Saccharomyces cerevisiae S288C: one gene and its partners. Changing the gene in region 2 together with the main gene of any one other region gives a genetic interaction. Each region holds a gene or a part of one and is shown on either strand. Other genes may lie near its edges.

Region 1 (8,238 bases), on a different chromosome or scaffold from region 2:
TTTGTATGTGAACCCAACTGCAGTATGTCCGAATAAAACTCGTTGTCAAATGGTTTATCGGCATAGCCAATAAAAAAAGTTGCAAAATTCACTTTGTTATCAAATAAATCAATTGTAAGCCTTCTCAATCTTGCCCGTTCATCGATATCTTGCGCCTCTTGTGGTTTATCAATGTCAGTGAATAAGAACACTCTCTTGTTGCTTAATTGCTTTTGACCCGGAATCTCTTCCAAAAAAGTGTCAAGCATGAATGTGAATAATACAGATAAGCGCACTTGCTTTTCACTCCCAGTTTGTTGAAACATAAAATAGTCGTATAGGCTTATTCTCCCCGATGATAAATCTTCTAAAAGATCGTTCAATTTCTTCATAAATGTAGCATTTATATCCCTTAATGGAAAAAGTTCATAGATACCTTCCTTGGCATCCTCTCTGTTACAGTAATAAAAATAGCAACCAATAGCTGTCCCAGGTCTTGTTATGACCAATTGTGACATTAGCTCATCTAGTGATTCCAGAATTTCCAACAATGGTGATTTATACTCTAGATCAGAGGACTCTTTAAACATTGTCTCTGATAGTTCAATGCAAAACAAAATTCCTTCATGGATATCAAACTTCCTATAACCTGTTTCATCCACTTGATCGTTAAGTTCTCCACTATTGCCAAATGCATTAGTGACTGAGCGCATAATATTCCCGTTTTAAAATCAGGCTTAGAGTCACTTAACAAATCATAGCTTTACTGTTGAAAACTAGAACAGTAATACAGAGAATGTCATTTGGTAGCTACCTTAAAGCAATCCCTAATACATGAAATTGAGAATCTTCAAAAATTAAGGTAATCAAAAGTAAAAAAATATCTCCCGGGGGCGAGTCGAACGCCCGATCTCAAGATTTCGTAGTGGTAAATTACAGTCTTGCGCCTTAAACCAACTTGGCTACCGAGAGTCAATTAACTGATAACCATTCAATTATGAGTCCGTCTAATATCATGCTTATTCACAATTTTAATATAAGCAACCTTGCAGAAGTGACCTGTTGTCAAAACGGAATATCAACTTGATTGAGGGGATGATAATTATCCTATATATTCTATAAATATGGATTATACTGAATATTGGGTGAATAATTTGATAATTGTTGGGATTGCATTGTTGATCAAGGCTATATAATATTATGTACACAGAATATATTAGAAGTTCTCCTCGAGGATAGAAATCTCAAAATGGAATCTATATTTCTACATAATAAAATTACGATTATTCCTCATTCCGTTTATATGTTTCATTATCCTATTACATTATCAATCCTTGCACTTCAGCTTCCATTATACTTGATAACTATTTCTCAATCCTTATTTTATGTTTTTCCACCGCATATTATAATATGCCAGTAATATTTATTCTTATTAATGGTCGTTAATTTCACACCAGGCGTGTTTATAACTGAGTAATCACTTTAAATTTGAGCATCCGGTTTTGCACCGTTAATAGTATCATTGTTAATTAGTAGGCAGGTTGTAGTATATTCTAAGAATAAAACAGGTGCCCTTAATCTGTACAAGAGAAGAGTATGAAATATGAATTACATTGGGCATATCGACTATACGCAATATATCAGTAGCTTCGACGATTTAGGTAGGTATAAGGGTTTCCTATACCTGTATACACAAATTTCAAACTTATGGCCGAGCCAGATAGTCCTTTAGCTATGCCTTCCATTACTTCTTGGAAAGCTTGTTGCATTTCCCGTCATATTATGTACGGTTACAACTTTTTTGTTGATTTCCATGCCCGAAGGGAGCTTAGCATAGCCGCTATTACATAATCTTATCATCTTCATCAAAAATGAACTTCTAAAATCATCCCACCACTCTATTGCTCTTCATATATGCGTTGTATGTTTATGTGCTTTGTTCTTATTACTGCTTAACTGTGACTGGGCCCATTATTCATTGTTCATATGCAGGAAAAAAAAAGCATGCTTGAAAATTTTGATCTCTTGATGGATGGTATCGAGGCTATCAAAGAGATATAGATCCAGAGTACAGTTTAGTATATCCGTGATGGATGAAAATATTTATCTTTCGCTATCTCAGATAAATAAAGACATCAGAAAGGAAAACAAGTCCGTAAGGAATCGACTTCAGAGTATTCTTTTAGACAATAAATTTTTGCAAGATCGAGTTATCCCTATATTTCCCCATTATCCACTGATACCCAATGAAAGATGTGGGCTATGGTACTGTAATCCATCAAGTTTCAAACAGACCAGTTACTTTAAGAGCACAGACGGGCATGTCAACCAATGGGACTTTAGCACCCGAAGATTGAACTTTCATTTGTTAGAGACCATTCGAGATAATAAAGGTATTATAATTGTCGATAGTACTAGAAGAGGTAAAAAAATCCCAGATGCTTTGAGTAAGACTGTCCCCATATGGTGTGCTGTATTAAATACGTTAATGCTTCAGGAAACAGAAAAAAATGTTGCCATCGATAAGGTACTGTATCTTCCACCTGAGACAGTTCCCAAATCAGAATATGACATGATTAAGCGAAAAATACCCGAACTAGTTGCTAAACTACAAAAATTGAATATTATAGATTCTAAGAAATTGAACGAACTGTTTATGGGTAAGTTATTGCGGCCCATATGGGTTCACCCTGGTTCTTCACTTCTAGACCATTCTGTTGATTACTTCACGGGTGAAGTACAGGAGTATGAAGCCTGGGAAACACCTGAAGACCAAAACATAATACCCATTATTTTGTGCACGGTAAGCTATCAAGCACAAGATGGTATGGATAAAAGATACGGCTTCACTTATGTGCAGGGTGCAGCCGACGATCACGAGCTCTGGTCTTTTGGTTTGGATTCAAATATGTTTTGGGCCCATATAGAATACCTAGGCGACGCAAGTTATTCAGACGACCAGTTACATGATTACATCATGGATTTGGCTGCTGCAAAGCTGAGAAATCAGTGTTATATACAAGATAAAGGAAGCTTGGATGAAGTCTTTGGAAACATTGATAAAATTACGAATGAGATATCTCTAGGAAAAGTGAGTTCAGGCTTAACCATCAATAAGAATTTGAAACAGAAATTGAAGTCAGAATATGGTAAAGTTATAATTTTCAGTAATTCGGTGACTGTTGCTGAAGATACAGACGATGAAGAAGAAAGTGGGACAGATCCGTTTATTTCAATATACAAGTTGCAAAGCGGAGACAAGAAAAGTTCAAAAGCTTTACGATCCACATTCCCTAGAATCCATGGAGAAATTCAATCGTTGTTTACAAATCGAGATGAAAAAATAAAGCCAATGCTAATATGCTGCAATACAGGTACTGATATGTCAATCGGTGTCATCTTAAGTATCCTTTGTACCAAATATACTGAAGAATGGATGCTTACGTCGGAGTTACCGGACATCAGTAAGCTTATTGTAAGAAAACACTTGACAAAATTGATTTCCCACTTGAAAGGACGCAACGTTAACCCTTCAAGAGCAACACTGAACAGCGTCAATAGCTTTTTAATGTAGTGAGTTAGGCAATACTGAGATGTTTACTCGCAATGTCACTGTATATTTTAATATCAAATAACGTCAGTTTTTATTAGAAAAAGAGCGGGTTACCGTTTATCCTGAACAGAAAAGGTTCATTGAAAAAGAGCCCTTCAGACATTGGCTAATGAAAAGAATATGTAAAATCAAGAACAAATTAACGAAGCTCTCCTTCGTTAACAGTCCACTACCTAAATTTATGATTAATGTGGATAAATAGACTGGTTAAACATCCATCCTACAGTGTTCTGAGGTTTTACACGAAGAGGCTCTGCACTGTATCAGTGAAATCGCTGCGTGAATTTGGTGTACTGCCGAATAGCACAATATGTCATTCTGTCTATCCCCGAAGAACGTATGTAATGGGTAGGGCTGTCATAAATGATATTTTAATCAAAAAATCCTATTCAACTCACACGGTATGTGCAATTGATCGATCAAAAGATGAAAATAATGGGAGCGCTTATGACAAATTCGAGGCAAAAGGTATACCTATAGATGTTCACACATTAAAACGAATTATCAGCTCGAGTGGAATGGATGAATCCGAATTTTCCAAGAGTATAAGTTACTTATTCGCGAAAACCGTGGACCCTGAACCGAAGGATGTTCTGTCTTTAGAGGACCTGTCTTTTCTTTTGAGCAAACTATACACACAACGGTTTCAAATTAGGAGAATCTGTAGAGACATAAACGCTAAATATTCAGAATTTTGGTTCAAACTTTTTTCCTTATATGCAGAAAAAGTTGATGCCAAGAGAAACCAAGTTAACTTACGGAATACGAAACTAGATGCATGTGAAATATTTGATGCAAATCTTATGATCAAGAACTTTATAGAGCTCGGTCAATTAGGTAAGGCTCAAAAAATTTTAAGCTTTATTCTTGATAGAAATCCTGATATATTACTGTCTCCGAAAAATGCAGATATTAGCACAATAGTTCACTTTTTACAACTGCGTTGTGGCGCTTTGGCGCCTTATTGGAAAATACCAGATAATAGTGAGCAAAAACAAGGTTTTTTAAGAAAAATGGTTCGACTAGGTGCGAAAAATACGTCAATTCGTCTTTCTTCTACTTACAAAGCCATGGATCACCAAACATTATTAAAGATTGCTGATCTTGCTCTGCAGGAGAAAAAGCTTTTGAATTCCGAGGATTTGTTGTCCACTTTAATTCAATCCTTTGGACACCTAGGCCAAACCCAAATATTGGAACGGTGTATTGAACATATATGGCAAATATCACCCCAAGAGTTTCCTAGTCACGTAGTAATTAAGCACCGAGGGTGCTATCCTAGTTCCAAAATACTCGTTTCAATCTTAGTGTCATTCTACTTTAATGACCACGATCTTCACAGAGGCCTAAGTATTTTGGATTCATTCATAAAGCACTATCCGGACGTGAAATTGGATGCGCTATTTTGGAGAAGGCTGTTTCAGCTAAGTCATTTTGCTTGGACACCAGCAAACGACAAGAAAGCCACTTCTGTTGTTAGATGTTGGCATTTAATGAAGCAGTGGTATGCATCTAAGCGGCTAAGGCCTTCAGTTGATTATGAGACGTTGAGACAACTGTACGATATCATGAAGAAAACAGGCAATTTCCCGCTTGGAATTGATGTTTTAAGGAGTTTCAAACCGGGGATCGAAAGAACGAGAGCAGAAAATGCTGGAAAAGTTAACAATATCATTATCAAATACCAAAAATGTATTATTAAGGAGCTTGTAAATAGAGGTAGATTTTCAGCGGTAAGGGAATTCATTGATAGTTATGGTTTTGATAGAAAAATGACCAAAGATTTGAATATTTTTTGTGCGAATCGTATGTTTCTAAGAAGTAAGAAAATGAAAAACAAGATTGAGAACAAAAAGGAAAGGGAGAAAGTGCGGCTAGATAGTTTCGATGACGATGAAGATGATGGTATGATTATAGGTAGCCTTTGGTAAGAAAAGTGTAAGTAGAATTAGCATTTATTTTTCTCCATATTCTTATTCTATAGGATGTAAATAATATGGGACTTTTTTATATATATATCTACAGTGTAGAGTCTAATATGTATAAACATCAAATTCATTAACGAAGACAAATCTGGAAAATATCCACCATCCGTATCTAAACCACACAACTTGGGATTCGTGAGCATTTAGCATAGTGGCAAACGCTAGTACGTATTGTGCATGTGTATTCATAAGTGAAAGCTTGTCTTTTTCGGCGGCTGTGTTAGGCGGAAGCGCCTGAATTATTCTACGGAATGGAGAAATCAGGTCGTAAAGTATTTTTAGGATTTCCCAAATAAAGGAGTTGTACTTTAAAACGATGTTGTTCTTGTAGCTTCTCAAATAAAGCGCAGTGACATGAGGTGGTTGTTCATTTCTTTTGGTCTTAGGTTGAGCATAATCATCCACCAACTTTTTAACGGCAGCATAACAGCTTTTGTGGTTGATATGATTTGATACACCATATGAATCAAAGGTAACGATAATCTGGTTCAAGTTATGATTCTTTATATCTATCTTTTGTGAAAGAGAAGAAGTTATAGAATCAATATCCCATATTTCGTCCATACCATCCTGGAAATCCATCACCTGTACGGAGACTGCTCTTTCATTGTGTAGCAATAAAGCGGCCGACTCATTTAATTCTCTTACCCTGGTTTCGCCAAGACCTTCGGCGTTGCCCTTTGATAAGCAGATTATGTTAAATGGGACGGTTCTCGGAAAGTACGAATTCAGTTGAGAAATTATGGGGGAAAAAAACATAACTTCGTCGTCAGGGTGCGCTATGACCAAATTGATTTCATAATCGCCATATTTATGAGGAAAAATATGCTGCAATGATGCATTGTTTCGGGAGACGATTTTGGGCGTAAAATAAATATATAGGATCGTCAGTACTATTGCTAGTTTAGTAATCTTGTAAAGCAATTTTGAAAAATTTACCTTTGTACGCCTCAACATCTTCATTTAACTTTTCTTCAGGGTTTGAAAGAATCTAATATACGGCTCTAGCGTCACCTATCTACACTTAACAATTCGATAAATAAGGAGGGCAATGCAAGATTATAAATAAAAGCGCAGCGTCGATTTTCCTTTTTCTATGACGTTAACGTAACTAGTAAACCTTCTAGAAGGGACGACTCCAATGAGATAGAAACGGCGAAGCGGGAATTTAGGAGTACTTGTTACCCGGCTACTAGTTTATTTCATACAAACACATTGACACATTCGCACATATACATCTACGAGAAATTACTGAATGTGAAAAGGATCAGAGGCAGTTAAAAGAGGTAACAACTTTTATCATCAGATTGTGATACGACTTATACTATTGAATGTGTATGATTACACAACTTTCCTTCTGCAGAACATTTTTACATCTGTTAAGATGGTGCAACATTTCTTTTTATTAGCACATTACTTTTGATGAAAGAGTATATTCAGTTATCGTAGCTCCTCTCACTTCTTTCTATCCGGTGTTTATTCGCGATATGAGTTGTGATATCAGAGACAGAGAGAGTTTATGTGCGTAACAGGAACGGAGAAAACCAGAGTAATTGAGTATTATAAGCAATAAATCATAAAAAGACATTCTTTCTCGTGCAATTTTTTGGTATTCGGGATAATCTTCTACTTGAAACTTCTTTTTTTCGGTGTTTAATTTGCCTATTGGTAAATATTTTTGCCGCCGAGGTTCTCAGTGATTATATTCGTATTAAGCGATAACCGAGACATGCATGGAGCGGCGGGGCTGATATTTTGTGGGGTACGAAAGCATGATTGGTCAGTGACACTCAAAAAAAGAAAACAGCCGTAAAATAGTAGATTTTGTTAAACTCCCCTTTAAACCTGTGATATTGTAAAAAGACGAAGAATTTAATAATTTAATAATTCATTACGGTATTTATTTCTTCATAAACAGTTACAACACCCTAAAGAGAATTTACAAGTTGAGTAAAAGACAAGACACAAAATTATGGCAAATAATAATTCTGATCGACAAGGTTTGGAACCCAGAGTCATTAGAACTCTGGGTTCACAAGCGCTTAGCGGTCCTAGCATATCTAATAGAACTTCAAGTTCGGAGGCAAACCCTCATTTTTCCAAGAACGTGAAGGAAGCAATGATCAAGACAGCTTCTCCGACTCCTTTATCTACACCTATTTACAGGATAGCTCAAGCTTGTGACAGGTGTCGATCTAAGAAAACAAGGTGCGATGGAAAAAGACCACAGTGTTCGCAGTGTGCTGCTGTCGGATTTGAATGCAGAATAAGCGATAAATTACTGAGGAAAGCGTATCCAAAAGGGTACACAGAAAGCCTGGAAGAAAGAGTACGCGAACTGGAGGCAGAGAATAAGCGTTTGCTAGCTTTGTGTGATATCAAAGAACAGCAAATAAGCCTTGTTTCACAGTCGCGACCACAGACATCAACGGATAATACCATAAATGGCAATTTCAAACATGATTTGAAAGATGCTCCATTGAATCTGTCTTCTACAAATATCTATTTATTAAATCAAACGGTTAATAAGCAGCTACAAAATGGCAAAATGGATGGTGATAATAGCGGTTCTGCAATGAGTCCATTGGGGGCACCACCTCCACCGCCACACAAAGACCATCTTTGTGACGGCGTTTCCTGTACAAATCATTTACACGTCAA
Region 2 (8,240 bases):
CAACTGTTGACGGAAAGCAATCTTTCGTCTCGCAACAACGTGAAGAGAAAACTCAGCTTTTAAATGAAATCAAGAGTGCCTTTAGCGATGAAGAAAATGAAGAGTCTAGCGGAGATGAAGACGATGGGTTTTTGAAGAAAAAGGAACCTTCTACGAAGAAGGAAGGAAAAAATTTACCGGATCCAACCGTAAATGAAGAAAATTTCTTGGAAGAATTTGTGAATCAACAGGCCTGGATTCCTAAGAAGGGGGACAAGGTGATTTCTCTTGACCTCAACAATAATGAAGAGGACGATGAAGAATTTGAAGATGCTGCAGAAAAATTTGAGAATGCCTACAATTTTAGGTACGAGGACCCAAACGCAGCTGAAATTATATCTTATGCACGTAGTCAAGCTACACTAAGAAGATCCGATGACTCTTCACGCAGAAGAAAAAGAGAGGAAAAAAGAAAAATTAAAGAGCAAATAAAAGCAGAGAAGGAGACAGCTCTTCAGAAAAAGAAGACTAAAAAATTGAATAAATTGACTGACATTTTAGAGCAACTAACAAAGGAATATGGTGCTGAAATTAATGCCGACATGGTGAAAAAAATCACTGACACCCTATTGAAGAACGATTTCAAAGAAGAAGAGTGGGATAACGTGGTAGCTGAATTATTTAATGAAGAATTTTATCAACAAGAGGGAAAGCCTACCTGGAACGAGGATGACGAAATAATGGGTGACTTTTATGCAGACGCCGATGGTGATGACCAAACAGAAGAAGGTGAAGTGGAAAAAGAACAAAAAGAAGAAGACGAGGAAGAAGGTCCAAAAAGAAAGAAGAGCAAGAAAGAAGAGAAACTGCAAAAGAAGAAAGAAAAGAGAAAGGTAAATGAATTAGTGGAAAATGCTTTGGAACAAAACAAACTAGCACTAATAGAGGAGGTTGAAAAAGAAGAAGAAGAAAGAAAGAGTAGAAGCCGTACAAAAGAGGAGCAAGATTTGAAGTTTCGTTACCGTGAAGTTTCTCCTGAGAGTTTCGGTTTGACCGCAAGAGAGATTTTCGCCGCCGATGATACTGATTTAAATGAATTTATTGGTTTGAAGAAATTTGCACCTTATCGTTCCAAGGAACTAAGAGCGAAGGATAAAAGGAAAGTGATGAAGGCAAGAAGATTAAGAGAGTGGAGGAAGAAAACTTTTAAGAACGAAAATGGGTTAGCTCCAGTCGAAGCAGAGGCAGGGGAGAAGGATGAGGACACCATACTGATACCTGTAGAGAAAGCCTCTAAAAGCAAACACAAGAGGGGGCACAGTCATAAACATAAAGGCCACCAGAAAAAGTAAACTAGGTGAAATATCGGCCCTGTATATTACGATACATAAGCTTACATAGTGATAATCTATCTCCGAATTTCCCTAAAAAAGAATGTCATTTTACGTATTAATATGTAATTTTATAATTTCAACATTTGTCATTTTTGTCCCTTTGAGTGGTCCATTTCAGGAAGTATGGAATCATCAACTGATATGGCCGTCAACGATCAATCAGTGAGTTTGTCATCAATGGACTCCCCTTCGCCTATACGGTCGGTGCCGGGTCCTACAATGAGCGGGATCCCGTTTGCGTTCATATCTAGAAAATTGTTTGTGGTGTGGCTTGATATAGCAGCTGTTGCTATCGCAGAAGTGTTGGAAGATGATCCGGGCACCATCGCTGGAACAGAAGGAATTGAAGCTGACGTGTTTGACGCTCCCTGCTGGGCGGGGACCCTTGGTGAAGGGCTGAAAAGATTATGCAGATAGTCTCCCATGTTGAAGTTGGGCGTCCTGAGTAAGTTAAAATTGGTACCGTTCAATTCTCTTGAAGGCGTGGTAGGTACGTTACTAGGTGGATGCAATGTGTTTGTGGTGGGCTTTCTTCTCTGCTGTGGCGATAGTGTCGCCTGGACACTACCGTTATTATTGCTCAAGTATAGTGATGGAGAATCCATGAGAGATTCGTCCGGAAAATTCGGTAACAGATTAGATTTGAAAGTGGACTGCGGAGAAGACGCTGAAGGTTTGATATGAGAGAATCTTACTGCATCGTTTGATGTGCTTGCTGTATTACCGTTCAAACTCAATTGCGACGCGTAATGATAAGAGCGTGGAGTAGTGGGCATCCTTACGGCCATCGGTGTTCCATGATGTGATGACTTATTATATGGACTTGTGGCTAAATACATTAAGAGATCAGCGCCCGCAGTGTTGTCGCTGTCCTGTGGAGCATCCTTAGAGCCTGCTGCCTTCTTCTTGATATTATTATTGTTATTGCTATGGTTACTGCTGTTGTTATTATTACGTTTTGGCGTCATGAAATTCTTATCATGGGGGCGCTGGTAGTGTGACGAAGCGTGTGGTAAGATTATAGGTGTAGCAGAAGCCCTCGGAGTAGATGGAGTGTCCTCCTTCCTAGGCTTGATCTGCTGTGAGCGGTCTTCGGCTTTTCGTTGGCGTGAACTTGGGGGAGTATTTGGCTTCTCTACAAATTTTACGGGCGATATAACAGTCATTTTATTTGTATCATCGTGGAGAGGCTTTTTCGCAGGCGATATGGCTTCCAAAAGAGTTTTGTGGTCCTCATCAACATCTTCGGCATCCTCTCCGCTTCTTTTCTTTGTTGTAGAGTCCTGTTTTCGTTTTGTTGATGGGACATTACTTAAACCAAGCTTTAATTGACGCGTCATCTGAGCCAACTCAGCTCTATGCAAAATCTTGGAGGCCAATTCTTGCTCTTTTTCAGGGGACATCTGGGGTTGAGACATTTCTTGTATGCACAATGGGAACACTGATTGAAAATAGTAACGCTCTACGTACTCCTTCTTTCGATGATATTTTTGGTTCCTTCTGCACTTCATAATTGTAATTTTTTTTTCTTGCATTTTCGCGTGATATCAAAATTATGAGAGGAAAGGTGAAAGAGCGTCATGTTGGCTTCAAGGGATCAGCGATACTAAAGCAGCACCGGTGCAACTGGAATATCAAGAGACTGAACATGATTCCGAGGACTAGAACACTACTGCAAAGTAAAATACCAATTACCAGGTACTTTGCCAGATGTTGGGCGCCTCGCGTACGCTACAACGTGTGCCGTACTCTACCCGCAGCAGCGTTGCATACCAATATCATCGCACATAATGAAGTGAAAAAGGACGATAAGAAGGTTCATTTGGGGTCTTTTAAGGTAGACAAGCCTAAGATGATGATAGCTTTCACCTGCAAGAAATGTAACACCCGATCTTCACACACAATGTCCAAGCAGGCGTACGAGAAAGGTACTGTCTTGATCTCTTGTCCGCACTGCAAAGTGAGACATTTGATAGCAGACCATCTGAAAATATTCCATGATCATCATGTTACCGTGGAACAGTTAATGAAAGCTAACGGAGAACAAGTTAGCCAAGACGTGGGCGACTTGGAGTTTGAAGACATCCCAGATTCGCTAAAGGACGTCCTGGGAAAATATGCCAAGAACAACTCAGAAAATGCATCCCAGCTCCCTCACCCTTCCCAGAAATGAATGAAGAGCTCATGCACAGGCATGTACATAGATAGATATATAACCGTTAAATAGCACGTTTTTCCAGAGACTGAGTCATGATTACTGCCAAAAACCCGCACATCACATATTTTTTTGCGATAACCAGCAGAAGATTTAGGACTAGAGTACATAAAGATGAGCCACTGCTAGATATGAAAAGTTGAACCGCATTTTCAAACGTTCAAACCAACCGAATCATGAAACGGTTGCAATTGTTTGGTAGATCAAAATATTTCTCGCTGGTCTCCAGTGCTGCGAAGGAGGAAGAAGAAGAGGAAGAGGGCTGTGCTGATGCCAAAAGCCTTCTACATAGTACGAGCCATGATATCAAATCGAGATCACTACGCTTCAACGATAAATCGTCCCTCATGTGTTTGCCAACAAAAGTTCTACTGTTAATACTGCGAACTTTGGACTTCAATACATTAGTAACACTATGCCAAGTCAATTCGAGGTTCTACAATTTGATTACGAATGAGTTCCTTTTCCAAAACGTTATTTTGGACTCAAAACTTTCGTTGTTAAAGTTCAATGCTTTGATACACTCCGAGTTCCACACGTCGAACATTGTCACACACAGCGGTGATTGTAGCACACAATCTAGATCACAAAATGCAAGGTTCCTCGTAAGATCCATCGAATTCAAAAATCCTCAGTCCCAAGACTCGTTGTTAAAATACAGTAAGTTCTATAATAAGAGTGGCCAAGATTCTATTATTGCTGGATCTTATAAACTCGATTCGTATGATAAAGACGTAAAAAAACTGAATAACATCAGACTAAACGATGAGACTCCCATCATAACTTCAGAACGAATCAAACTGCTTGATAAATTGGAAAGCAACTACTTCCATTATACTTATATTGAGCTAATGCTTGATATTATAGACTATCTACCGAACCTGACCAGAGTGATTCTGAGTGATGTGGAACCGAATTTTAAAATTCCTTTATGGTACTCTGTATTCAACGATGGATCTAGAGATTTTTTCAAGAAAATAATCAAGGGCCAGCAATCCATCACAAACGAAGATTTGAGGACTTTCCAACTATCCAAAAAATTTGTCAAAGAATACGAATCCAAGTATTATTCTCTGCCAAGGTTGAAAATACTGGAAATCAAAGCTAATAATAAAAGACAAAGAACCTTTAATCGTCAACGCCATCACCAAAAGCTCGTACTAAGACCGAGTTTATTCTGCTGTTTCGGCATAATTAATGAACTTAAACTAGAAAATGTAACGATAGACACCGAATCGCTAGATACTCCAATGGAATTCTTACCACTATTTCTAAAGAACGAAGATAATGAACTGTACAGTTTACAGTCTCCTATCACTGCACTTACTTTAGATTCATGTGATGTAGTTCCTGGAAATGGAATATTACGTTTGTTTCACTCTTACTTTAAAATGGTCAAACATCTATCCTTACTGAAGATTAACAGTAAATTCGACTTATTGTTATGCAGTTGTTTCCCATCGTTATCCAATCTAACAATTGATTGTAATAGCAAATGTTTCACTAACGAACAGGTAGTCGGCGAATCATATTATTTCCAACAGCGAAGTTTGGATACAGAAGATGATTTTGATGACTGCAATTCCATGACAGAAACATTATTTGAAGCGCCATCAGATTCGAAGATAATTACTCCTCCGCCGACATCTTCAGTTGTATTGTCCTTAAATCTGAACTATATTTCTAGAACTACAGGAAATGATGTTTCAAATAACCCATCACCAGACAATAACAAAAAGCCCGCCATGTTAACTGCGGCACAGCTACAAAATTTTCAACGACAAAGAATCCCTGAATTTCATTCTTTCTACCATTATTACCGCTTACTTTGGGAGAGACTTCCAAGTAAAAATATTTCTATTAACGTAATCAATATCCCCTTTACCAATGTGTATCCTTTATCCCCTCTATCGTTTTGGGAACATCTAGCAAGAACAATTACTAGTGTTGATGAGACAGATGAGGATGTTGGCGACGAGAACGATCAAGAAACATTAATCGGTTACGAAAATAATTCCATAAGAGATAACATACCAAATGCTAATGCAGTTCCAAATTTAAGTACAGTAATGAGCCCTGAATCAGACATTCACCACACTTACTATTGGAACAACTCTGTAAGGCGTTGCCTAAGAGATAGTTTAATCAAATTGAAGAACCGAACCATCGAATATAGAGATTTAGATGTGGAGGAGTTCTTACAAAATGTGACATTGGAAAATTTTTTCAATGATTTCCAAGATCCAGAGAATTTTAAAGATATTCCAAATATTAACCTCTGGTGTTTCCTGAGAAATTTGTCAAAATTCAAAGCTGTCAAAATAAGAATGCTGAGACATTTTTCATTATGTACACCTAGAACCAGATACGACTGGGAACTATTATTGAAGCCCGTACTGCGTGTAAATGTTCCCATTGAAGTCAGAGATAAGGACGGATTCGTTCTTTATTCTTACGGGCAAAAATAAATGACTTTTTGTAGTGGACTTTATATAGCATATTTATGCAACCAACTTAATATTCATGCATCTTACCCCTTCTTGGAACGGGTTCCATTTTCCACTCTATTTCCGGCAAATTTTGGTACTTACCTAGTAGAAATACACAAACGAATACTAAGAAATGCTAAAAAAATAATCTATATATTTTCATAGGGCAAAGAAGTTATTGTCATCAAAAGTTGGGTAGATAAAACCCTGGTCAGTCAAGGTCGTACAGCAGTTTCTGACGGTAGTTTCATCCAAATTCAAGGATTGCGAGATCAATGGAATGGGAACAGCGAATGAATTAGCGTCTTTGCCCTCACATTGCTTCTTACAAAATTCTAGAATTCTTTGTAACGGACTGGAGCCGGAAGATGTATCGTTATCATCCTTGACAAATAATGATTGCCCATTGTTGTTGGATGCACTCTCCAAAGGTTGTTTCATCATTCCACTGGCTATGGAATGACATTTGATGACTTCCAAGTGATGCGTCAACACTTCATTGAATGAATCTATGGGCTTAATCACCGCATACTGTATATTTTTCTTACCACCAAACTCTTTCAAAGCACCAAAAACTTTTACGTAACCGCCAATTTCAAATTGTTGGGCGACTTGCGAACCATAACCTTTACCAGAAGAGTCATCGTTACCGGCAGCCAAGTCATTTGCATCTTCGCTCCATTTTCTCACTTCTATTTGACCAGTTCCATCCTCAATAGTTAAAAAAATATTTGCAGTATGGTCTGTAATGTTTCTCACCACACCTACAAAACAAACGTGATGAAGTTCTTGGTTATGCGAAACGAAGGGGCCGTCCTGAATATCCTGTTTGGACTCTAGAATTTGTTTGATCGTCACAGGTGTCAAGGTGTTAACTCTAGTGTTAGTTTCCGACTCCCCACTACCTGGGCGGGACTCAGAGTTCTCAAAGCCACCGCCCGTTACTGATGAATATTCGTTATATGGTTGATAGGCTGTATTGGAATCCCATCCATTGTTAGTAATTTTAACATTCGCCAATAAAAATAAAAAAAATGATGCAGAAAAGAGCAAATCCTCCAATTCCTAGCACTAATACATACTTGCCATTATGTATATGCTTAAACTAGCCTGTTCTAGATAGTCGCTATCGATTTTGCCACATTACTTCCACCTTAAGTTGATATAATATTGCTTATTATAAAGGAAAGAACGCGTTTCCTAACGCGTTTCGTATATGGCGATAATTATCTAAGAAACTTCGCATCGTGAAAAAAAAGATGAAAATTGAAAATGGAAGCTCATCGAGGCCAAAGGAATTGCTAAAAAGAAGCTATCAGACCAGGCAAAAAGTAAACTAGTGGTTGCAAAATTATGGAGACGTTATTGCATGCAAAATTATTGCTGTCTGCAGAAGTAGAATCTCTGAAAAGTGGTTCTTTCGACCAGACATATGTGAAAAAGGCTGAACATATCATCAGTGGTGAATCATACCAGCTAGTACAGCAATTTGTGGACAAATTTAAGGGAAAAATTAGTATTTCGGGAGAAATATCCACATCTAGTGTTATTGCTGCTCTAAATGACTTTCTTAACGTTGAGGTTTTCAAAATGGGCCAAGAAAATGAGATGCTATTTTTGGCTATTGCCCTCTTACAGACCTTTATTCAAAATAACTACACCGGCCCAGCAGCTAGGTTGAAAGCAATCTCAGGTTTGTTTGGCAAAACTGGAATTGAAATAGGAGCAGTTAATACAGCCCTTTCCCGCTCATTAGCCATTATGGGCCAGCCTGCCTACGAATTTATGGATGATCCATTGTATTTGGTTTTATCACTATTATTACTTGAAAGGATAACCGGCCAAAAAAGCTTATTTGATGTTACCCCGGATCAAGAAATTCCGCTACCTATTATCTCTGCTGAGTCTACTCCTGGATTATTAGCTGTAGCTTATTGGTGGTGGGCAAGAGCTCTTTTGACGCAATTGTCACTGATTCCAGAACCTTCTGGGTTCCAAGCTAGTGTTGCATCTGCAATATATCAGTCTGCTGACCTTGCATATGCGATAACTAAGGAATTACCGGAGAGTATTCACGAAGATTTCAAAAGAGAACTTTGTGCAATGTACTATCTAGAGAATGTCAAATGTTCATTGGCCATCAACACAGAACATTTGTGCCTG
Region 3 (7,646 bases), on a different chromosome or scaffold from region 2:
TACTGATCTGAGACTTTTGTGTTTTATAATAACAAGGTGCATAAACTACTTGAGTGATAAATTTCCCCTCATATCTAGTAGTGCAAGCTACGCTGATTATTTCATCTCTAATACTGCTTGTCAGTAAATGGTTCAAATTCACGTGGGGTATAATATGATTTATCGCACCTTCATCCCTCTCATGTGATTCTGAATTCTGATTGCTTTGGTTTAGTATTCTGTTCAGATAGGATGAATTCAGGTATATGGGCAAGTCAGGAACTGGGTATCTACTTAGAAAAACCGCCTCTGCTGTTTCTGCATCAATATTACCGCCTTGCTGTAAAGTAGCAAATAAATCATCTTGATTACAGTCAACAACTCTATGTGTAAAGCTGGGAGGTTCTTGGGGATGCACGTCATCAGAATCTCCTTTTACAGAAATCGTAGAGCCGTCACCTATATTAAATAAATTTGGTATTTCGTTCGAATACACCAACCTCTCAGGCTTGACCTCGGCCATCAAATCCAAACTGCTAGCCTTCAGACGTACAAATGAGTCACGCATATTTATTGAACTGGACCTACTTAAGCCTCTATAATCTGAAAACGGTGTACTTGGCCTTTCAACACCCTTAGCAGAATAGTAGGAAGATTTTCGAGAGGAAGAAGGAAATCTTTTAAGTTCCGGTCTCTTGGGCAATTCTTCATCCAGTGTTGGCTCTACTTGCGAGTCGATGTCTGCTTCGTTTCTAAATGGCTCGATCGTATGATAACCGGGCAATACTTCAAACCAGTTGACAAAATTGCCTTCTGAATCCGTAGCTGTAGGAAGAAAATTTGAGTGAGTCAATATACCATTGATGGAGAATTGCAGTCTATAAATTCCTGCAGGCAAAAAAAGATCTGGAACAAACCATTCCTTATGCACATCATCATAAACCATGCGGATCCTAGGATTTAACTGTTTTTCTGAGTCTAAACTTGCATTCTCATCCAAGGTAAGCTCTCTTTGCTCTTTAAGAGCAGAAGCAATATCCGTGCTTACTATAAAGACTTCCGTGGTTGCAGCCACGGTACCATCGTCTTTCCATTTTAGAACAACTAAAGTATTTTCGGTGGAGTTTGTTGATGATATTGAAGACATACTCGACATGGAATTAGAGTGATGCGATATTTCTCTATGCTGCGGTGCAGAGTATTGACTTTCATTGTCGTTAATAATTGGATGTAGTGGATGCAAAGGCTGCAAATTCAAACCGTTTGTTAAGATACTCTTTCTTGATTGTAAAGAATGCAAAGAAGCAAATGAGGATCTTCTCGAATTTGAAACCGACCTTATTTTTTTATTCTGGGCTTTCTTTGTCTTATTATGGTGCTTATTTAAATCTCTTTCCATCAAGGTCTTATCACCGTACAGTTTCATCATCATTTTTGCAGTAGCAGATATAGGTGCGGTAAAATCGTCGTTGGAGCCTCCCGCGTTTCCCTTGTTACGGGTGTTATTTTCAATATTTCCATTGTTATTAGCGTGGCTTATCCTTTCTGCAGTATACATTGAATTAGAGGAATTCACCCTTGAAAGACGTTGCATATCCTTTTTTAAAGCATTTTGTAAAAGAGACTGGTTCAAAACCATATCTTCACTTTGAAGTACGCCTGCTTCTGCATCTACACTATCACTGTTTCCCTCTTTATCCATTTGAGAGTTCTCAGAAAATGTTTCGTCGTTATTGAGATATTGATATTGGTATGCATGGATAGATGGTTTCTTTGAATAGGGTTGTCTTACAGGAATATCAATGGAATCCGTCTTGGTCAAGGCGGGAAGTGATGCTGAATGCACCGATGAAGACCTCGTTGGAGAAGGGGAAGCAGTAGCTGAACTTTCTAAAAGATTTTTTTTCAAAGCTATGATGCTTGAGCGATGCCTTTCATGGTGTGGTTTGTCGTTTCTTTCATTTTCTGTTGTTTCGTCAACCATGGTGTAATTCAAAGTAGACAGATCATCCAGATCACTTTTAGTTCGTTTGACAGTGGCCATTGATGGACCTGGGCTCAAAAACGACGGAGATTTCACCTGCTCTTCGGGTGCACCCACATCGTGATCATCACTTAAAGTCAAATTGGCCAACGTAGTGTCATTTACGTCTGCGGCAGAGGACAAAGAATAATCCTTTTTGAATAGATGGGACGGGCCCTTATCGATAGTAGTATCACTGCTCATGCGCCCATCACAATCTGTCGATGGATCGTGAGATGCAAGTAATTGCATTCTAGGGGGAATGGCACCATTATGTTCGCTAGTATGACTGGCGCGTCTCTTATGAGTACTCTTCCTATTGTTAAACAGTTGAGAGGTTATGCTTCCCTGACGATCTTTATTGAATGCATCATGAAAATGATGTCCATGCTCCTTTTTGGTTGAATGCGATGGATCCTGAGTAGAAGGACTGTTTCCCATGGCGGCTGCAACAACTATATAATATGACAGTTCAACTTTCCAAGATGTCAGTCCACACGCAAAAAAAGAAGTGCAAATGAAAGAAACACTAGGTAAGACACCTTGTTTATGTAGGTATCCACTTGTATCGGATATATCTACCATTGTTAATTGTCAATAGTATTCCATCAGAGACAATGGTAAAAAGACAAAAAAGGTATAATCATCGTACAAAGCGATCAATATTACATGCTCTCATCCAACATTATGTATACTCAAGATATGTTTATATGCTACAGGAGCTGTCTAACCAGAGCACTCTGTAAGTCGCGAGCTTTGACTACTATTTTGCAGTCATCTGTACATTTTGCCTTGATTATTAATTCGCTGCATAAATCATCTATGTCCAACGATGAATATTTTGGTAGGGAGGAGATCTCTTCGAGAATGTGGTAGCAAGACGCTTTTCCATTCGATATGGCGCTGCTAATGTGTTCAATTGCTTCAGATTGGGTTCGAATTGTTTTAGTATGAGAAGCAGCCACCGGAAGCACCGAAGCTAGAGATTTCTGATTCAACAGGTGGCTTGTTATTAAGTCGCATTTGATCTCCTTATTTGAACATGGTTTGGTCCCGATACACTTGCGGTTGCAAATATTATTACACTGGCTCCCTACAGCAAGGGGAAGCACGCTGGGGAATAAAGTATCATCTTCTGTCTCGTATGGAAGATACTTTTGGTCAATTTCACATTGACATGCTGACGTATCTATTTTTTCAGCGGTCAGGCGTTCAGAGTGCTGAGGAAAGTAGTTATGAATGTCGTAATCTAAAGCTTCTAGACCAGTCTGTCTATCATTGGAGACAAGATCGAGACTGAAATCTGGCATTTCACTACCATTAATACTTTCGTCACCGATGGTAACGGCACCTGTTCGATTTCCGGGGGGAGAATCCCACGAATTGGTTAAACTGGGAGCGTTCCATGAGCCTATGTTCCACATAACTTTCTCATTCTCTTGAGTGTGCGGCTGTACTTCTATACTTGTGTTCACAGTCATGTTTTCATCTGAATTAGGCGATGGCAATTCCTTTGCAGCCTTGCTAACTGCTGTACTTGTTCCTTTTTCGTTTTCCCTTTTCTGTTGTTCTTGCAGATCATCGAGGAAGGCTAATATTCTTTCATCATCAGAATTCTTAGCTCTATATTTTGTAATTTCCGACAGTAAACTTTTTAAAGAACATAGTAAAAAGTCCGTGGTAGTCTTATTCTGCGCATCTTTCTGTTCTAGTAACTCTACCCTCTCTTGCAAACTCTTCATTTTGGCTTCTTTCCTATCTCGGAACGCTCGTTGAGCTGCCCTATTCTGGGCAGTCCTCCTACTCTTAGCTTCAGAGTCAATCCTTTTTCTGCCTGGTCTGCCCACCTTCCTCTTAGGTGTTCCATCTTTATTTAGCAACATTTGCTTCTTCATGTCACCTGCTAAATATATTTGCTGACCTTTCCGAAGGATATTGCCCATTTATCTTAACTGGTCGTTCCATTGCTTATATGTCGTCCTTAAAAGTAACACCCCATTCGTATGAAAGTATAATAGTAATTGATTATCGATTAACTATTGAAGAAACACTATTTATGCTGTTTTGAAAACTAAAAACGCCAGTGGACCGATATAGAAATAAACAAAATGGCCCTTTTCGTGTGTCACGTAGCTCCCAAAGTTCTTTCCGACAATCACATGCCAGGTATTGCCGTATTTGACATCCAATTGCTTCTTTACCGTCCCAGCAATGTCTCTTTCCAACTGGTACTTGTCCAGAGCATCTTTACTGATGGTTAAAATATCCTCTTTCAGCTTGTCGGTCTAAGTTTTCTCCTTGTTAGTAAATATATATATTCAAATGTACACACACAAAACATGTATATCATGGCACAATTACATACTATGTCAGACGCCTTAACAATAGCTGCAATTCATGGAAGAAAACCTCACTCTTCCTCGAGTTAGTAAAGAAAAATTGTATTGAAAGTCACAAAATTGTGACTGAGATTAACTGACATACGCGTACTCTTATTTTCATCGCTCATTTTGGTTTTAATTTGCTCTTCTTTATGTCGTTTCCCAGTTTCACTTTTTACCCTGGCAGTAGTTTTGGAGGCTTTCCTTTTCTGCAGTTTCGCTAGTTTGTAATCTCCATTTAAAGGGAAAAGAGAACCAGGCAACAAGATAAAGAGATAAGGGATAGAGACATAAATAGACATCTATACACGTAGTGAGTAACAACGGATACTACTACACATACAGAAAAAATGGACTACAACATATTTGAGGCGGTACATGAACAACAAAGCAGCACATCTGACATGGATCTCTCAGAAGAAGATAATAATCCATTCGTCGGCACTCATCACCTATATGCTTCTGGAATTGGGACTACTATCGGCGAAGCTCGCCCAGAGAACGAAAATTCGCCCCCTTCTTCATCGTCTTTGCCATCTAGCCCGGCACATTCCTCTTCTGCTGGCTCTTCCAGAGCATCTACGTCATCTTCAACCTCTTCTCATGCCGTAGTGGAAGCAGATGCGGAAACTGAACCTTTTGTTTCCTTGTCGATGTCTACTACTGCTACTATTAGCAAATTTACTCCCCACGATATGAATGGGACACAGCAGATCCAAATCATTGATGCCGGCGATTTCAAAGATCCATGGGGGAAACACGCTATCGGTTACGTAATTCTATATGAAAACAACAAGATTATCAGAAGGTACTCTGAATTTCATTCTTTGAGGCAATCTCTAACTAGACTCCTTCCTACGATAATTATTCCACCCATTCCATCCAAGCATTCTCTTCTCAAATACATATGGAGTCCCATAAACGCAGCAAATGATTCCAAAATTATCTCCACCAGGAAGAAAATGCTCAATTCATTCTTGTCTAACTGTCTGAACATTCAAGAAATAAGCAACGATATTGTTTTTCAAAAATTTCTAAACCCTGAATTTAATTGGAAAGATGTTTTAAGTTCGTCGCCGATAATCATACTACCTTTGAATAACCTTTTAGCTCCACCTTTAAGCCCAACAAAACCAAGCCCCCTTCATTCTATTTTACCTATTCCATCCAACTCGTCTCTGAGAAACTATAATTCGATTTGGCAACAACACATCACAGTAAAAAGTCATAATGAAATTTCCAACCTCCCAACAGAAATTTTACAAAACGAATCTCAATTTACACATATTGAAAATTTATTCCAAAATTATAAGCGAATAATCACCCATTTATTAAAAAACATAAGATCAAATAAATCTCATTTCCACTCCTTGTCCACGTATTTTGCTGAATTAGGCGCATATTATAATGCTTTTAGTTTGGAAAATGACATAACCATGCCCAACAGCCTTCGCGAATCTGAAAACAATTCAAACAACCCAATGATGGAAATTATTAGTCATATTGAAAAGACAGGCCATTCATTCGATGTTATATACATTTCTTCCGAGATCTTAATAGAAAAGTACACCTCTATTCTTGAGGACCCCATTAATGAGTTATTGCAGTTCTTAAATGAGTCATTCAAAGTTCTAAATTTCAAGAAATTAAAGTTTTTGCAATTTAAAATATTAGAGAGGCTAATTATCGAAAAAGAAACGAAACTTTCGAGTCTCACTGAGATTGAAAACCAACTGCAGAAGATTAATGAAAGTTTAACGCGGTCGACTATATTGACAGATGAAAATTACAAAGATACAAAGGCTGCTGACCTGACATTTGTTAAAAAGGACGTAAGATCGCTATCGAAGTCAAGTTCAAATTCAAGCTCCAGTGGACACCAAAACGAAATTCATATAGGCGCAAGTAAACTAAACTATAAAACGTCTACGCCAACAATGAATCTCAATAAATTAGAAATCAAACAATTGACTGAACAAGAAAGATCTAAACAGATCAAACAGTTGAACCAAGATTTATCCAAATTGAAAGATTGTCTATCAATCTGTATATCAGACATGCTAGAAATTAACAATTCGTCATACAACAGCTTAATGCATACATATAACCATATTAATTTGACCATTGGAAAGATCTTGAAACTTTTCGCAGCTAGCTTCAAAGCATGGATCAAAGAATGTCTGAAGAATTGGAAACTGGCAAAGTTACAAATCGACGAGGCCCTATAAAAAGCATTACCGTCACGCATCGTGTTGCAAATAGCATATACATATATATATATATATATATACATATAACGTATACGTTAGAAAAATTTGAATACACACATTCATTTATCCTATTATTATCATTTTCATTCTTACCCGCTCCCCGCTTTCATCCGGTGGCAAAAGTAAGAACAAATAAAAGCTAGACCTAGATTGAAGAAACTATTAAGTACCAAAAAGCAAACAGTGGGCACACGCGAGGAAACCACATTATATTTCGCAAGATGTTTAATAATCATGAAATTGACACCATATTAAGCACTCTCCGCATGGAGGCAGATCCCTCTTTGCATCCTTTATTCGAACAATTTGAGAAATTTTATGAAGAGAAATTGTGGTTCCAATTGTCCGAATCCTTGACTAAATTTTTTGATGATGCTAAATCTACACCATTGAGGCTCAGATTATATGATAACTTCGTTTCTAAATTTTATGATAAAATCAACCAATTGTCAGTAGTAAAGTATCTACTTGCCTCTTTGAAGGATTCTAAGGATTTCGATGAGTCTTTAAAATATTTGGATGATTTGAAGGCTCAATTTCAAGAATTGGACTCTAAAAAACAAAGAAATAATGGATCAAAAGACCATGGTGATGGTATTTTGTTGATAGATAGCGAAATTGCTAGAACTTACCTGTTAAAGAACGACCTCGTTAAGGCAAGAGATTTATTAGATGATTTGGAAAAGACATTGGATAAAAAGGATTCCATTCCATTAAGGATAACAAACAGCTTCTATTCTACAAATTCCCAGTATTTTAAATTTAAAAATGATTTCAATTCTTTCTACTACACAAGTCTATTATACCTTTCTACCTTAGAACCATCTACAAGCATTACTTTAGCCGAACGTCAACAATTGGCCTATGATTTGAGTATCTCAGCATTGTTAGGTGACAAAATCTATAATTTTGGCGAACTATTACACCATCCAATAATGGAAACTATAGTCAACGATTCCAATTACGATTGGCTTTTCCAATTATTAAATGCTC

Evidence for each region. A genetic interaction does not mean that the proteins touch.
Region 1: mutations in STB1 (region 2) and AEP2 together harm fitness more than expected from each alone (negative genetic interaction), as found in Saccharomyces cerevisiae (2 studies listed by BioGRID).
Region 3: mutations in STB1 (region 2) and CAD1 together harm fitness more than expected from each alone (negative genetic interaction), as found in Saccharomyces cerevisiae (2 studies listed by BioGRID).

What each region holds. Positions count from the first base shown.
Region 1 is NC_001145.3:830,641-838,878, reverse strand, and holds AEP2 (Aep2p), read left to right. Parts: upstream 1-3,780; coding exon 3,781-5,523; downstream 5,524-8,238. Other genes in the region: ATP-dependent DNA helicase YKU70, read right to left, coding at 1-692; RIT1 (tRNA A64-2'-O-ribosylphosphate transferase), read left to right, coding at 2,012-3,553; GPI12 (N-acetylglucosaminylphosphatidylinositol deacetylase), read right to left, coding at 5,626-6,540; DNA-binding transcription factor CAT8, read left to right, coding at 7,550-8,238. UniProt on the Saccharomyces cerevisiae protein: Required for translation of the mitochondrial OLI1 transcript coding for the mitochondrial ATP synthase subunit 9.
Region 2 is NC_001146.8:47,213-55,452, reverse strand, and holds STB1 (Stb1p), read right to left. Parts: upstream 2,792-8,240; coding exon 1,529-2,791; downstream 1-1,528. Other genes in the region: KRI1 (Kri1p), read left to right, coding at 1-1,331; ZIM17 (Zim17p), read left to right, coding at 3,022-3,546; putative SCF ubiquitin ligase complex subunit SKP2, read left to right, coding at 3,765-6,056; RFA2 (Rfa2p), read right to left, coding at 6,237-7,051, 7,160-7,166; tetratricopeptide repeat-containing protein EMW1, read left to right, coding at 7,431-8,240. UniProt on the Saccharomyces cerevisiae protein: Involved in the regulation and timing of MBF-dependent transcription in late G1 of the cell cycle.
Region 3 is NC_001136.10:1,315,331-1,322,976, forward strand, and holds CAD1 (Cad1p), read right to left. Parts: upstream 3,946-7,646; coding exon 2,716-3,945; downstream 1-2,715. Other genes in the region: SIP1 (Sip1p), read right to left, coding at 1-2,443; DYN2 (dynein light chain), read right to left, coding at 4,057-4,287, 4,368-4,390, 4,487-4,511; SNX41 (Snx41p), read left to right, coding at 4,734-6,611; proteasome regulatory particle lid subunit RPN9, read left to right, coding at 6,875-7,646. UniProt on the Saccharomyces cerevisiae protein: Transcription activator involved in oxidative stress response and cadmium resistance. Regulates the transcription of genes overrepresented for the function of stabilizing proteins including the inducible Hsp90-family protein HSP82.